Mus musculus: one gene and its partners. The protein of the gene in region 1 purifies or fractionates together with the protein of each later gene. This does not show direct contact. Links are inferred from orthologs where the notes say so. Each region holds a gene or a part of one and is shown on either strand. Other genes may lie near its edges. The genes, in order: Racgap1, Fam98a and Shcbp1.

Evidence for each region.
Region 2: the proteins of Racgap1 (region 1) and Fam98a purify together in Homo sapiens (co-immunoprecipitation; 3 studies listed by BioGRID and IntAct, with this or other methods). This does not show direct contact. The link is inferred for Mus musculus from reciprocal best matches to the Homo sapiens genes RACGAP1 and FAM98A.
Region 3: the proteins of Racgap1 (region 1) and Shcbp1 purify together in Homo sapiens (affinity purification with mass spectrometry; 8 studies listed by BioGRID and IntAct, counting the BioPlex papers as one, with this or other methods). This does not show direct contact. The link is inferred for Mus musculus from reciprocal best matches to the Homo sapiens genes RACGAP1 and SHCBP1.

Annotation. Positions count from the first base shown.
Region 1 is NC_000081.6:99,624,060-99,627,711, forward strand, and holds part of Racgap1 (rac GTPase-activating protein 1), read right to left. Parts: intron 2,499-3,652; coding exon 2,403-2,498; intron 2,323-2,402; coding exon 2,124-2,322; intron 285-2,123; coding exon 179-284; intron 1-178.
Region 2 is NC_000083.6:75,549,728-75,553,479, forward strand, and holds the start of Fam98a (protein FAM98A), read right to left. Parts: upstream 2,220-3,752; 5' UTR 2,067-2,219; coding exon 2,014-2,066; intron 1-2,013. UniProt on the Homo sapiens protein: Positively stimulates PRMT1-induced protein arginine methylation. Involved in skeletal homeostasis. Positively regulates lysosome peripheral distribution and ruffled border formation in osteoclasts.
Region 3 is NC_000074.6:4,735,383-4,738,580, forward strand, and holds the end of Shcbp1 (SHC SH2 domain-binding protein 1), read right to left. Parts: intron 1,026-3,198; coding exon 712-1,025; 3' UTR 594-711; downstream 1-593. UniProt on the Homo sapiens protein: May play a role in signaling pathways governing cellular proliferation, cell growth and differentiation. May be a component of a novel signaling pathway downstream of Shc. Acts as a positive regulator of FGF signaling in neural progenitor cells.

The DNA of each region.
Region 1 (3,652 bases):
CTGAATAAAAGATTATATTAAGAAACATTATTCAGGGGAGGTGGGGGGAAAAAAGAAACATATTATTCCTCTTAAATATACACCAAAATATACATTCTAGAAAAAACAACTCACTGTCCACACACTCTTCTCCTTGGAAGATTCCCTAGCTCTCAGACTAAGCATCCGCTGTACTAACCTCTGTAGGTGGATCATAAGGAAGGCTAGCGTGTCCCTGTTGGCCTGGGGCAGCTCACTGACAGCCTGGTACATGGCGGCTGTGCTGTTGTCTTCATCTGTTATCTCTGTGATGACAAGAAAGCATTAAAGGTCCAGGCTCTTCCCTGGACAGCAGCTTCAAGGCTATCGACCACAAAGGCCCACCTATACACGGAGCTTCTGAAACTTCTGATGCGGTTCATGACAGCACCAGACTCTAGTTTCATTAACAGGCAGGACACTGGCCAACAGTTCAATGAGAAGTCAGAACTTCCTAAAACTCAGTTAAGAGAAAGCAGCTGGCAACCCATTTGCTGGGAAGACACACAAGTGCAGTGATAAACCATCAACAATCATAGGACACTTGAGGGCCTACTATGTACCACGTGCTATTTTTAAATGTGAGGATAACGAAACGAAAAGAGGCCTTGTTTAATGGAATAAATACTCTAATCAAAGAGCTGGTCAGGAAATGCAAAAAACAAAACACATGTCAAGCAGTATTCAGGAAAAAAGAAAATGAGCACGTGGAATGCTAAAGTAACAGGGCCTGCTTCTCACAAGATGGCCATAAAGGCGGGTTTTGTGGTTAGTTTTAAAAACTGGGTTCCAGGTAGCTTACTCCAGTCTCAACTCACTATGTAGCCAAAGCTGGTCTCAAACATCCGGCCCTCCTGCCATCCTTCCCAAGCGCTGGACTACCACGTCATGCACCTGGCTTAGGAAACGTGTTTCTAAGGACAAAATGTGTGAAGAGAAACCGGGGAGAGAGAAGTAACACAGTACAGAGATGTCAGGGGAAGCTGCTAGGGATAAGACTGCAGCAAATGGGAAGGACGTGAGGTGGGTGTGTGCTACAAATCCAAGACTCTGGGCTGGAGAGATGGCTCGGCAGTTAAGAGCACTCACTGGCTCTTAACATATACATAAAATATACACATAAAATAAAAAGAAATCCAAGACTCCAGGATTAGAAAAGAGGAAGGAGGGGCATAAAGAAAATGGTGTTGCAGACAATGACCAGGAGCCAAGTCTGCAGGTCTCTTCAACCATGTTAAAGACTGGAGTTAGTCTAAAAATGATGGACAAGCCAGTCCATGGTGGCACATGACTTTAATCCTAGCACTTGGAGGCAGAGGCACGTAGATCTTTGAGTATGAGGCCAGCCTGGGCTACAAAGTGAGTTCCAGGACAGCCAGAACTACACAATGAAACCTTATCTCAAAAAACAAAACAAAACAAAACAATGGTGGACAGAGACAAAAGGGCCACCAGTAACTCTGAGTGTAAAAGGACCACACCAGCACCACACAGATGCTATCATGTAGGGGCACAAGCAGAAACTCGACAATCTGTTAGCAGGTTCTCAACATATTCTGAGGACAGCTGAGTACCAGGACTCGTGACAAATACCAAATTTAAAGTGTATTTACAGGCTGCTAACAAGGTCTGTGGTGGAAAAGAAAGGAATCAAAGCTGGTTCTATTTTCAAAGGGACAACCTAAAACCTGACCAAGAATCAAGACCCACAGTGAGTCCTACGAAGTCTAAGTTAGTTTAATTCTTCCCTTTATTTTATGTGTACACATACGTTGCCAGCATTTATGTGGTGCCTGAGGGGGCAGAAGAGTACAGCAGATCCTTCCGGTCTGGGGTTCCAAATAGTGTGACCCACCCTTGCAGAAGCTACGAATCAAAACCAGACCCTCTGGAAGAGAAGCCAGTGCTCAACCACAGAGCATCTCTTAGCCTCTCTAGTTCAGGGAAGAAACGGCATGATGGGAGGCGAGGACAGTCACTCACCCACCCAACAGTCTGGGTACCTAGGACACTTCAGACACTGCACAGGTGGTGGAAAAATTAGTAAACTGTAAACACAGCTCAGCCCTGGATCGGCTGACGCCACAGTCAAGTTCTGCCTTCACCTGCTGCCTCCATGAAGGCTTTGCTCAGCCAGAAGGTCAGGAGGGGCTCTTTGAGGTTGCGCAGGAAGTCCTTCAGGAGGCTGCAGATGACGTGGATATCGTCCACTTTGCTGAGGAGGGGCACAGTTTTCACCTTAAGGAATTTTTCTTTCAGTTCTTTCACTGTGCGGTCACAGCCTGAGATCCTGTACAAGCCTGCCTGTTATAGAGATGACACTTACTTAGGAACTTCCAAATCACCATCGCAGACCACAAACTCACCGGGCTCAAGCTCCTCACCTCAGTCAGGCCTCGCTGCTCGATCTCATTGACACAGCTGACGACAATGGCAGGGATCATGGGAGAAGCCTGCGACACGAAGTCGGCCAGCATGCCCTGGAAGAAGGGGCTTTGTTATTTACACTGCCGAGACCGAGAGAGAAGGGCTCATGCACAGAGCTGTCACTAAACACTAGCAAAGTGTGTCAGCGTCTGAACTTCTATTCTACAAGTACGTGCTAAAACAGACTCGGGGACTGAGAGGTGGCCGGCAGCTGAAAGCCTGTGCTGTTCGCCAGAGGACCTGGGTTCACTTCCCAGCACCCACATCAGGGGGTTCACAACCACCTGTAACTCCAGCTCCAGGGGACTCTGACATCTCTGGCCTCCAGAGGCACCTAAACTCCTGTGTATATACCCTACTCATACATAGTTTAAATAATAACATTTCTGAAGAGTCTTGGAGGAGTAAGGTGCAGCTCAAGGCCTGACATGAGCATACGCCTGACAGGCATGAGGTCCTGTGGTGGGCGATGCGTGTATCCCAGCACACTGGAGATAGAGGCAGGAGGAGCAGAGTTTGAGGCCATCTACATAGAGCCTTTAGTCACTTCTGTCTTCATGCTGTGGTCTATATAACCACACACACTTTTTTTTTGTTTGTTTGTTTTTTGGTTTTGGTTTTTCGAGACAGGGTTTCTCTCTGTGTAGCCCTGGCTGTCCTGGAACTCACTCTGTAGACCAGGCTGGCCTCGAACTCAGAAATCCACCTGCCTCTGCCTCCCAAGTGCTGGGATTAAAGGCGTGCGCCACCATGCCCGGCTACACTTTTGTGAGCAAGAAAAGTCCTTTTCTTCTACTCGGGACAAGAGAAAGCCAGCCCCGAGGAGCTCACAGCCTAAGCTGGGTGTGGTGGCACAGAGGGAAGCAGATCTCTGAGTCTGGATCCTGAGCTGGAGATCTTTGAGAGCGGATGATCCCAGTATACCCCTTGCCTACTGAAGGTAACAATCTCTTCCCTCTCGAGTCTTGGCTAGGCCTACATTAGCTCTGCACTCAACAAGAAGTAACCACTACTCAGTTTCGTGCTGGCATCTAAAGCCCCGTACAGGAGCGTCAGGGCTGCTCTGTGATATGGTCTGGCAGGGAAAAGCAGCCTGGAGAAGCTCCACAGCTGAGAAGATGATGGACTTACATTTGGAATAACAGTACAGTCAAGGCACTTATTACACACAATACACAAGTTGTACCTTAGTACACAACAGCTTTGA
Region 2 (3,752 bases), on another chromosome or scaffold:
AGCCTGGTCTACAGAGTGAGTTCCAGCACAGCCAGGGCTACACAGAGAAACCTGTCTTGAAAAAAAAGATAGTATTCAACTGTAATTTTTGAGCAAATTGTTTAAAAATACACAGCAATCAACTAATGGTGACTTTTAATAATATTTAAATGTAACCACACTAAGTTAAAATTAATTATAAACTTTCATTAAAAACTCTAGGGTTTATATTACAATGCAACCTAACTATTTACTTGAGGGCAATTGTTGCAGGGATAATTAGTTGTAGTAAGCCAGACAAGAAAACATCATTAGGATAAAGGAACAGTAATGGAAGCAAGCTCTTCCACTGCAGCCAGTCAGCTGATCTTCACCTGCACGGAATATCCCAGAACTCTTCTGGTTCTACTCCTGCAACACTACCTTTTCAAGGGAAGAGACCCTCCTCGGGGCTTTTCATTGTATGCTTCTCAGAGCTTCCACGTGAACTTATACCCTGAGGAAAACCCCACACTGGCACAGAGCAAGTGTCCCTTAAAAAATGTTTACTGGCCGGGTGTGGTGGCGCACACCTTTAATCCCAGCACTCGGGAGGCAGAGGCAGGCGGATTTCTGAGTTCGAGGCCAGCCTGGTCTACAGAGTGAGTTCCAGGACAGCCAGGACTATACAGAGAAACCTTGTCTCGAAAAACAAAACACACACACACACACACACACAAAAAAAATGTTTACTGAGTAAGCGAATCATCTTTAGACACCCGTTGAAAAGCACCCGTTCCACAGAATAAGGCTTACGTGTGGCCCATTGCAAGAACTAAGTTGGCCAAGTCTGGGCTATGCACAAAATGTGATTCAAAGAAATGACCACAGCGGCTGATGTTCACAGCGATGGTTAGTAAGCTTCCTTTATGGTCAGTACCTACTAGGACACCAAGCTAGTCACATGGGTTGCGCTTTGGCTACCTCAAAGGTGTCCTTCCCTAAAGAAAGGTGTCCCTTAAGAATTTCCATGGCATGGAAAAGCCTAAAGTTAAGCTTTGATTAAGGATTATAGTTAAAAATACAACAATCGGCAGGGCATGGGGGCTCACTCCTTTAATCATAGCTCTCAGGTGCCAGAGGCAGGAGGACCTCGGTGCGTCATTTCTTCTACGCTGATTTTATCCTGAAATAGTTATTCGCAGGCAAATACTTAATCATGCAGGGCTTTTTTTTTTTTTTTTTTTTTTTTTTTTTTTTTTTTTTTTTGCCTAAGAGCCTCTAGGTTCTCAAGTTTAAGCACCTTGATCTGGGTGACCAAACAAGATAAATAAGCCTTATTTCCAAATTCCTAAACACTGAAGACTATGACTGAGAGTCAAGATGCAAATATGCTGATTCTTGGTGGGTGAGGATGACCCTGGAATGCTGGAGTTCAGCGAGGCTGTGCTGGAGGTCTGAAGTCACTGACTGTCATTTCCAAAGCAGGTGGTTGAAAGGTTAGGTGCACAGCTGAGCGGGCTTGAGAGCAGCCGGCTGCATCGCCCAGACGTGCGCTTTGGGAAGCCTAGGTGCATGCAGAGATGACTGAGCAAAGATGATTTTTTTTTTTTTTTGAGAGAGAGAGAGACAGAGAAGTAGGGTGGGGGGTAGAAGCTCAAGAAAGAAGTAGGGAATCTTGGGGCCAAGTAGGAAAGCAGATACAACTTTGGCAAACCATAAAGTGGGGGTAGGGTGGGAGGACGGGAGGCAAGAAGAGAAAGCTTGGGGAGTGGGGGGGTGGTGAGAACCGGAGCCCAGACAATGACACGCATGACTGAGACACGCTGCGGGTAGCTGGGCTGTAGGGGAGCACCGGGGAGGACGAGGGCCGTCGGAGCCCAGTGGGCAGGGTAGGTGTGGACGTGGCACCGGGGGTCCCTGGGCCAGCAGCGGGAAGCTCCGGCGGGAGTCGGGTGCGGAGTGGCAAGGCAGGTGGCTCCGACCGGGCGCCCGAGGAGTTGCCGGGGCTCTAGCAGAGTGGACTTTCAGAAACTCATGCCCCCGCCGTCTTACCCTAGATCTTCCAACGACTCCAAGATGTCAGTCTCCATGAGGTCACACTCCATGCTACTGTGGTATTCAAATTTCCGAGTCGTCAGGCTGCCCTCTCGCCGGCAACGCGTACCCTAGCGCATGCGCTCCTTCCCCGGAACTTCCAAGTCGACAGCTGGCGCCTCAGTCCCCGTATTGCGCATGCCCCGAGCGTGCGCAAGCAGTTTGGTTCCGCCCACTGCCCCCACCTCACCGGCCGAGGAAAAAAAAATGGCCGGGTGTGCGCGTGCCCAGTATGGGGTAGTGAAGCTAGCTGCCCTAAGAAGGGCAGGAAGGCAGGTGGCGTGGCACCGAGGCTGGGAGACTCAGAGACTCAGCCAGGGGGCGCGGAGCTCTTGGAATGCGCATGTGCACAGCTTGGGGCGAGGCAGGCGCGGGAGGAGCAGAAGCAGGATCCAGCCTGGGATTGTAGAGTGACAGCTGTGGTATTGAAGATGCGTGTCCTCCTTTCACCTGCGAGTCACCACAGAAGGGCAAATTTGTGCGTTCCCAGCCACAGCCCAGGGCGGGGTTAGACGGGTCAAAAACAATGAAAGCCAGGAAAATGCCATTTGATTTTTCTTCAGTGTAGCCTCTGGAGTCCACGGTTAGAGAAGTGGCTTTCCTCAGTATGGATGCTTCAGAAAGTTTCTCCAGGGAAAGTTTTTTTTTTTTTTTTTGTCCCTGTCCTCTTGAGTCTGCCCCAGACACCACGCATTTTGTTTTAACGGGAAAGGGCATAACTCCATATCGAATACAATAGGGTATATTTGATTACATGCAGTTTAGACAATGGATCAACTTTTTGTCTCCGTTGACTTTTTTTTTTTTTTTTTTAATACAGGGTTTTATAGAGCCATGGATGGCCTGGAACTCACTATGCAGACCAGGCTGGCTGTGAACTCACAGAGCTCCACCTACCTTTGCCTTCCCAGTGCTGAGATTAAAGGCATCTGCTACCATGCTCAGTGTTGTCATTACTTTTGGCCACCCATGCTTGGGTGTAGCTTTCTATTATGAAAGAACTGTTGAATAAGGAGGAAATCGTTTTCAAAGAGATGATGTAGTTAGAAAATCATATTTATCTATGAATTGCCATGTTGTTATATTGTGTAGTCATTTGGTTTTAAACTTATTCTTACGTTTTATTTTGTAGTTTCCACTTTCATGTCTAATGGATAAGCATTCTCTGTCAGTAGTAATTCATGGTTTAGTTATTTATTTTGTGTAACATGGGTTGGGAGAAGGTTATGCACTAACTGTTCTAGTGACTATCCTCTTGACCCATGAGCGACCTGGCTTCTCCAAGAAAGCTCCCCTAAAGTTAAATATTCTTCAAGGTGTATTCATTGATTCTAATTTCCTGATTGGGAAAAGTTGCAAATCCAGAGCCAAGGTTCTGTCAGACTGTCATTAGTCCCCTTAAGAGCCCACCCTGGCCCATCCTGTGTGACCTAACCTCATTTTGGCTATCAGGTAAAACTTTTGGGATGTGTAAACATCCAAATTAGCTTCTGCCTACTCAAAGCCACAAGTGTCATCAGATAACAGCTAAGTTCTCTCCACATCACTGTAAACTTCTCACCTGCTGTCCCCACCAATATATCTGAAGAAATAATCCCTTGACTTATGAGTTGGTATTGTGTAACTATACAGACAGTGGAACCAGTTCTGTGTTGGCACATGTTATGTGGGGCAGTCTGAGTCTGTACCTGGGTCAT
Region 3 (3,198 bases), on another chromosome or scaffold:
TCGGAAGCTAGGGGTTTTTAATAGAAGCAAAGGGTTAGGGGTAAGAGGAATTTTAGCAAAGGTACTGGATTGGCTCATTAAAATATTAACAGAAAGATTATATGTCAGCAAAAAGGGGCATCAGGACTTTGTTCCGGTGGGCTTGGGGCTTATCTTTGTTCACATAACAACCAGTTGATGTATGACTTTACCCGGCGCCAAGGGGTAATAGACAGAAGGGAGGTTCCGGCCAGATGGTGTTGACTCAGACAAGATAGCCCTGCTTGTCCTCGGATTGAGGGGAGGTTCCGGCCAGATGGTGTTGACTCAGATAATATAGCCCTGTTTGTCCTTGCATACCTTTCCATCTTTACTGTCAAGATGTTCTTAGGAATGCCTTAACAACAGCCTTGCCCTGGCATGCCTGGGCCTGTTCTGCTTTGTTCTCAGCCCCAGGCCAGGGCCGCTGGCTCCTAGACAACTCACAAGTTACAATATTTCATCTTCCTTCACTACATCTACAGTCATATTTTATGTTTTTTGTGGCTTTCTTACAAAGGTGTGCTTTGTATGTAATACATATAGATAGAAATAAATCCACATTTCACACAAGCTTAATCAAGTACACTTTATATAATACACAGCCATGAAGCAAATGAAGCAAAGTATATAAGCAGCATACTTAAGACATGTTCAAAATACAGTATTTTGTGAGTATTGATATTATTGTAGCTAGTAAAGAAATGTGCCAAAACTCCCTTTGCCATTCCACTTAAACTGGTTCCCCATAATTTCAATAAACATCTCCTGTGACATTATGTTGTCATCAGCTTGTGTAATCCCAAGTTCACTCAGTCTTTTCTTCATCCGGCCTTTTTGCATGGAAATAGCAAGTAGTTCATTTATAATTTCACAGTTTCCCTTAGCTTGTTCATTAAAGTCAGCTGTGGCATAAGGCTCCATTTTGCTAGCCACACACTGAAGCATTTCTTCCAGATCTAATCCTTCAGTGACATCTGCCTCTTTATTTTTCTGAACCATATTGTCTGAGGAAACAAATTATAATGAAGTTAAACATACAGTTTAAACAAACAAGGAGATATTTCTAATACAGTCTTTTAGATTCAAGTATTTTCTGCCAAGAGTTTATAGAATTTCTTTACTATAAAAATCTCAATGAGTAGCTACTTAGATCTTCTTGCAAAGTTTCATTAATAGGGTCATTAATTTTAAACTTTGTTTACCTTCTTCATCCTAAAATCTCAGTCACTGGACAGATATGTTCCTAGATATTTACTATCTGCTAAGCTATGTACTGGGAGCTAGTTGTTAAACTCACAATCTACTAGCTAGTTCCCATCCTCAAGAGTTGTACTCTCAGCCAGGCGTGGTGGCGCATGCCTTTAATCCCAGCACTTGGAAGGCAGAGGTAGGTGGATTTCTGAGTTTGAGGCCAGCCTGGTCTACAGAGTTCCAGGACAGCCAGGGCTACACAGCGAAACCCTGTCTTGTAAAACCAAATTAAAAAAAAAAAAAAAAAAAAGAAAGAAAAAAAGAGTTGTACTCTCATGCTGGTGGCCTGCCCTGGCCTCCTGGGGTTTGGAGTTGAGGTGGAACACAGAGTTGGATGATCTCCAGCTCTGTAACTCTGGGGGCTAGAAGCTGATGGCTTCTGCAAACTTAACACTCTCTTGCTTATTTTCTGGATGAAAACCACTGGCTTCCTTTTGCTCTAACTCTCTGTGCTTGAACAAGTGCTGGGCAATTATGAAAAGGATTTATTGCTAGTGCTTTTGTCTCTGGCCAGTCAGCTAAGAAGCCTCTCACTGGCCAGAAAGCTCATTACGTCTTTTTGAACCAGAGAGAGAAGAACGGAAAGGAAAAAAGCCACTCACACAGACAACACACACACCAGGTGAGGTGGAAACTAGTTACACCATCTGTCTTTATTACTTTCAGCTTTTTTTTTTTCATAGCTTTTTAGACAAAAAGTTCTCTATGTAAGAATTACCTCATAGATAAAATGTTACATGAAAGGGGAGTTACAGAGAAGTATTAATAATAAGTACAAAGCACTGTTTCACATTGTAAGCTCATTATAAGTTCAACGCAAAAGTCTTTACATGGCCTTGCCTTATCATAGTGCACACTTGTGGCTTCATCCTTGCACCTGAATGTTTTTGCTTTAACACAAATTTCTCCCAAGCATATATGGTTTTTTAGTGTAATTATAAAAGCTCATTGTATTGCTTATTATGTAGCTCTTACTTACTATTTATGAGAAGTGGGCATATTTCATTCTTGATTCTAATTTTATTACATATTTCTAGTAAAACAAATAAAACCATCTTAAAACTTTCTTCCTAAGATTATTTGAATCAAATCAGGAATTCTATCATTAATTCATCTAAACAGCAATTATGAAAGTTCGCCTTTATGTTGATCTGCAGGAAATCTGCTCAACAGTGGTAGGTTAATGCCCAGGAATCCTTAGGCTATATAATAGTGACAGGAAAGGTATAGCAGCTGCAAGAAGCAATCCTGAGATGAAGTGCCTAGGGACCTTGCCTCTCAGAGCTCACCCATGCAAAAATGGTGGGTCACCTTGAGAAAGGTCATCTGCTAGCCTTAGCCTTTCCTAGATAGCTCCTGACACTCTCATGATTGCTAAATGCAAAAATATTTTGTTATTATCTTCCAATGTTATTATTATCTTCTAATGTGATTAAGCCTATCTAGGCAAGTTTTTTGTTTTTGTTTTTCCTAGCTGGCTGCAGAAGATTCAAAGCATAAGCTTGAATCTGTGTATCTTAATCAATGGGGCTACAGAATGATTCCAGCCAAGCTTAGTCCTAAGATCTATACCACGGACTCTGCAGACGAATGACACGAGTAGCATTGGGTGTAGATTCGTCCTCCAGAGCTTAAAAGGTAAGGGCCTCTTCCACATGCATCTCAGCTGTTCTTTGTTCTGTCCTGACTGGAAGGGCTCCTGAAGGATGACAAGGCCTATTCTTCAAACCACTTCAAATTTCCACAGCCATACTAGTACTTTTTACTTCTTTAGGTCTTATATTTAAAAGTGATTTACACATCAGTGGCTTGAGATTTACAAATTTCCACTGTGTGTGCTTTCCTTTTCTGTCAGGAAAAGTGGTAACTGAGAGAAACTTTTCATTTACCAATGAAAAGTAAACGCAAAAGAAACTTCAAACTTAG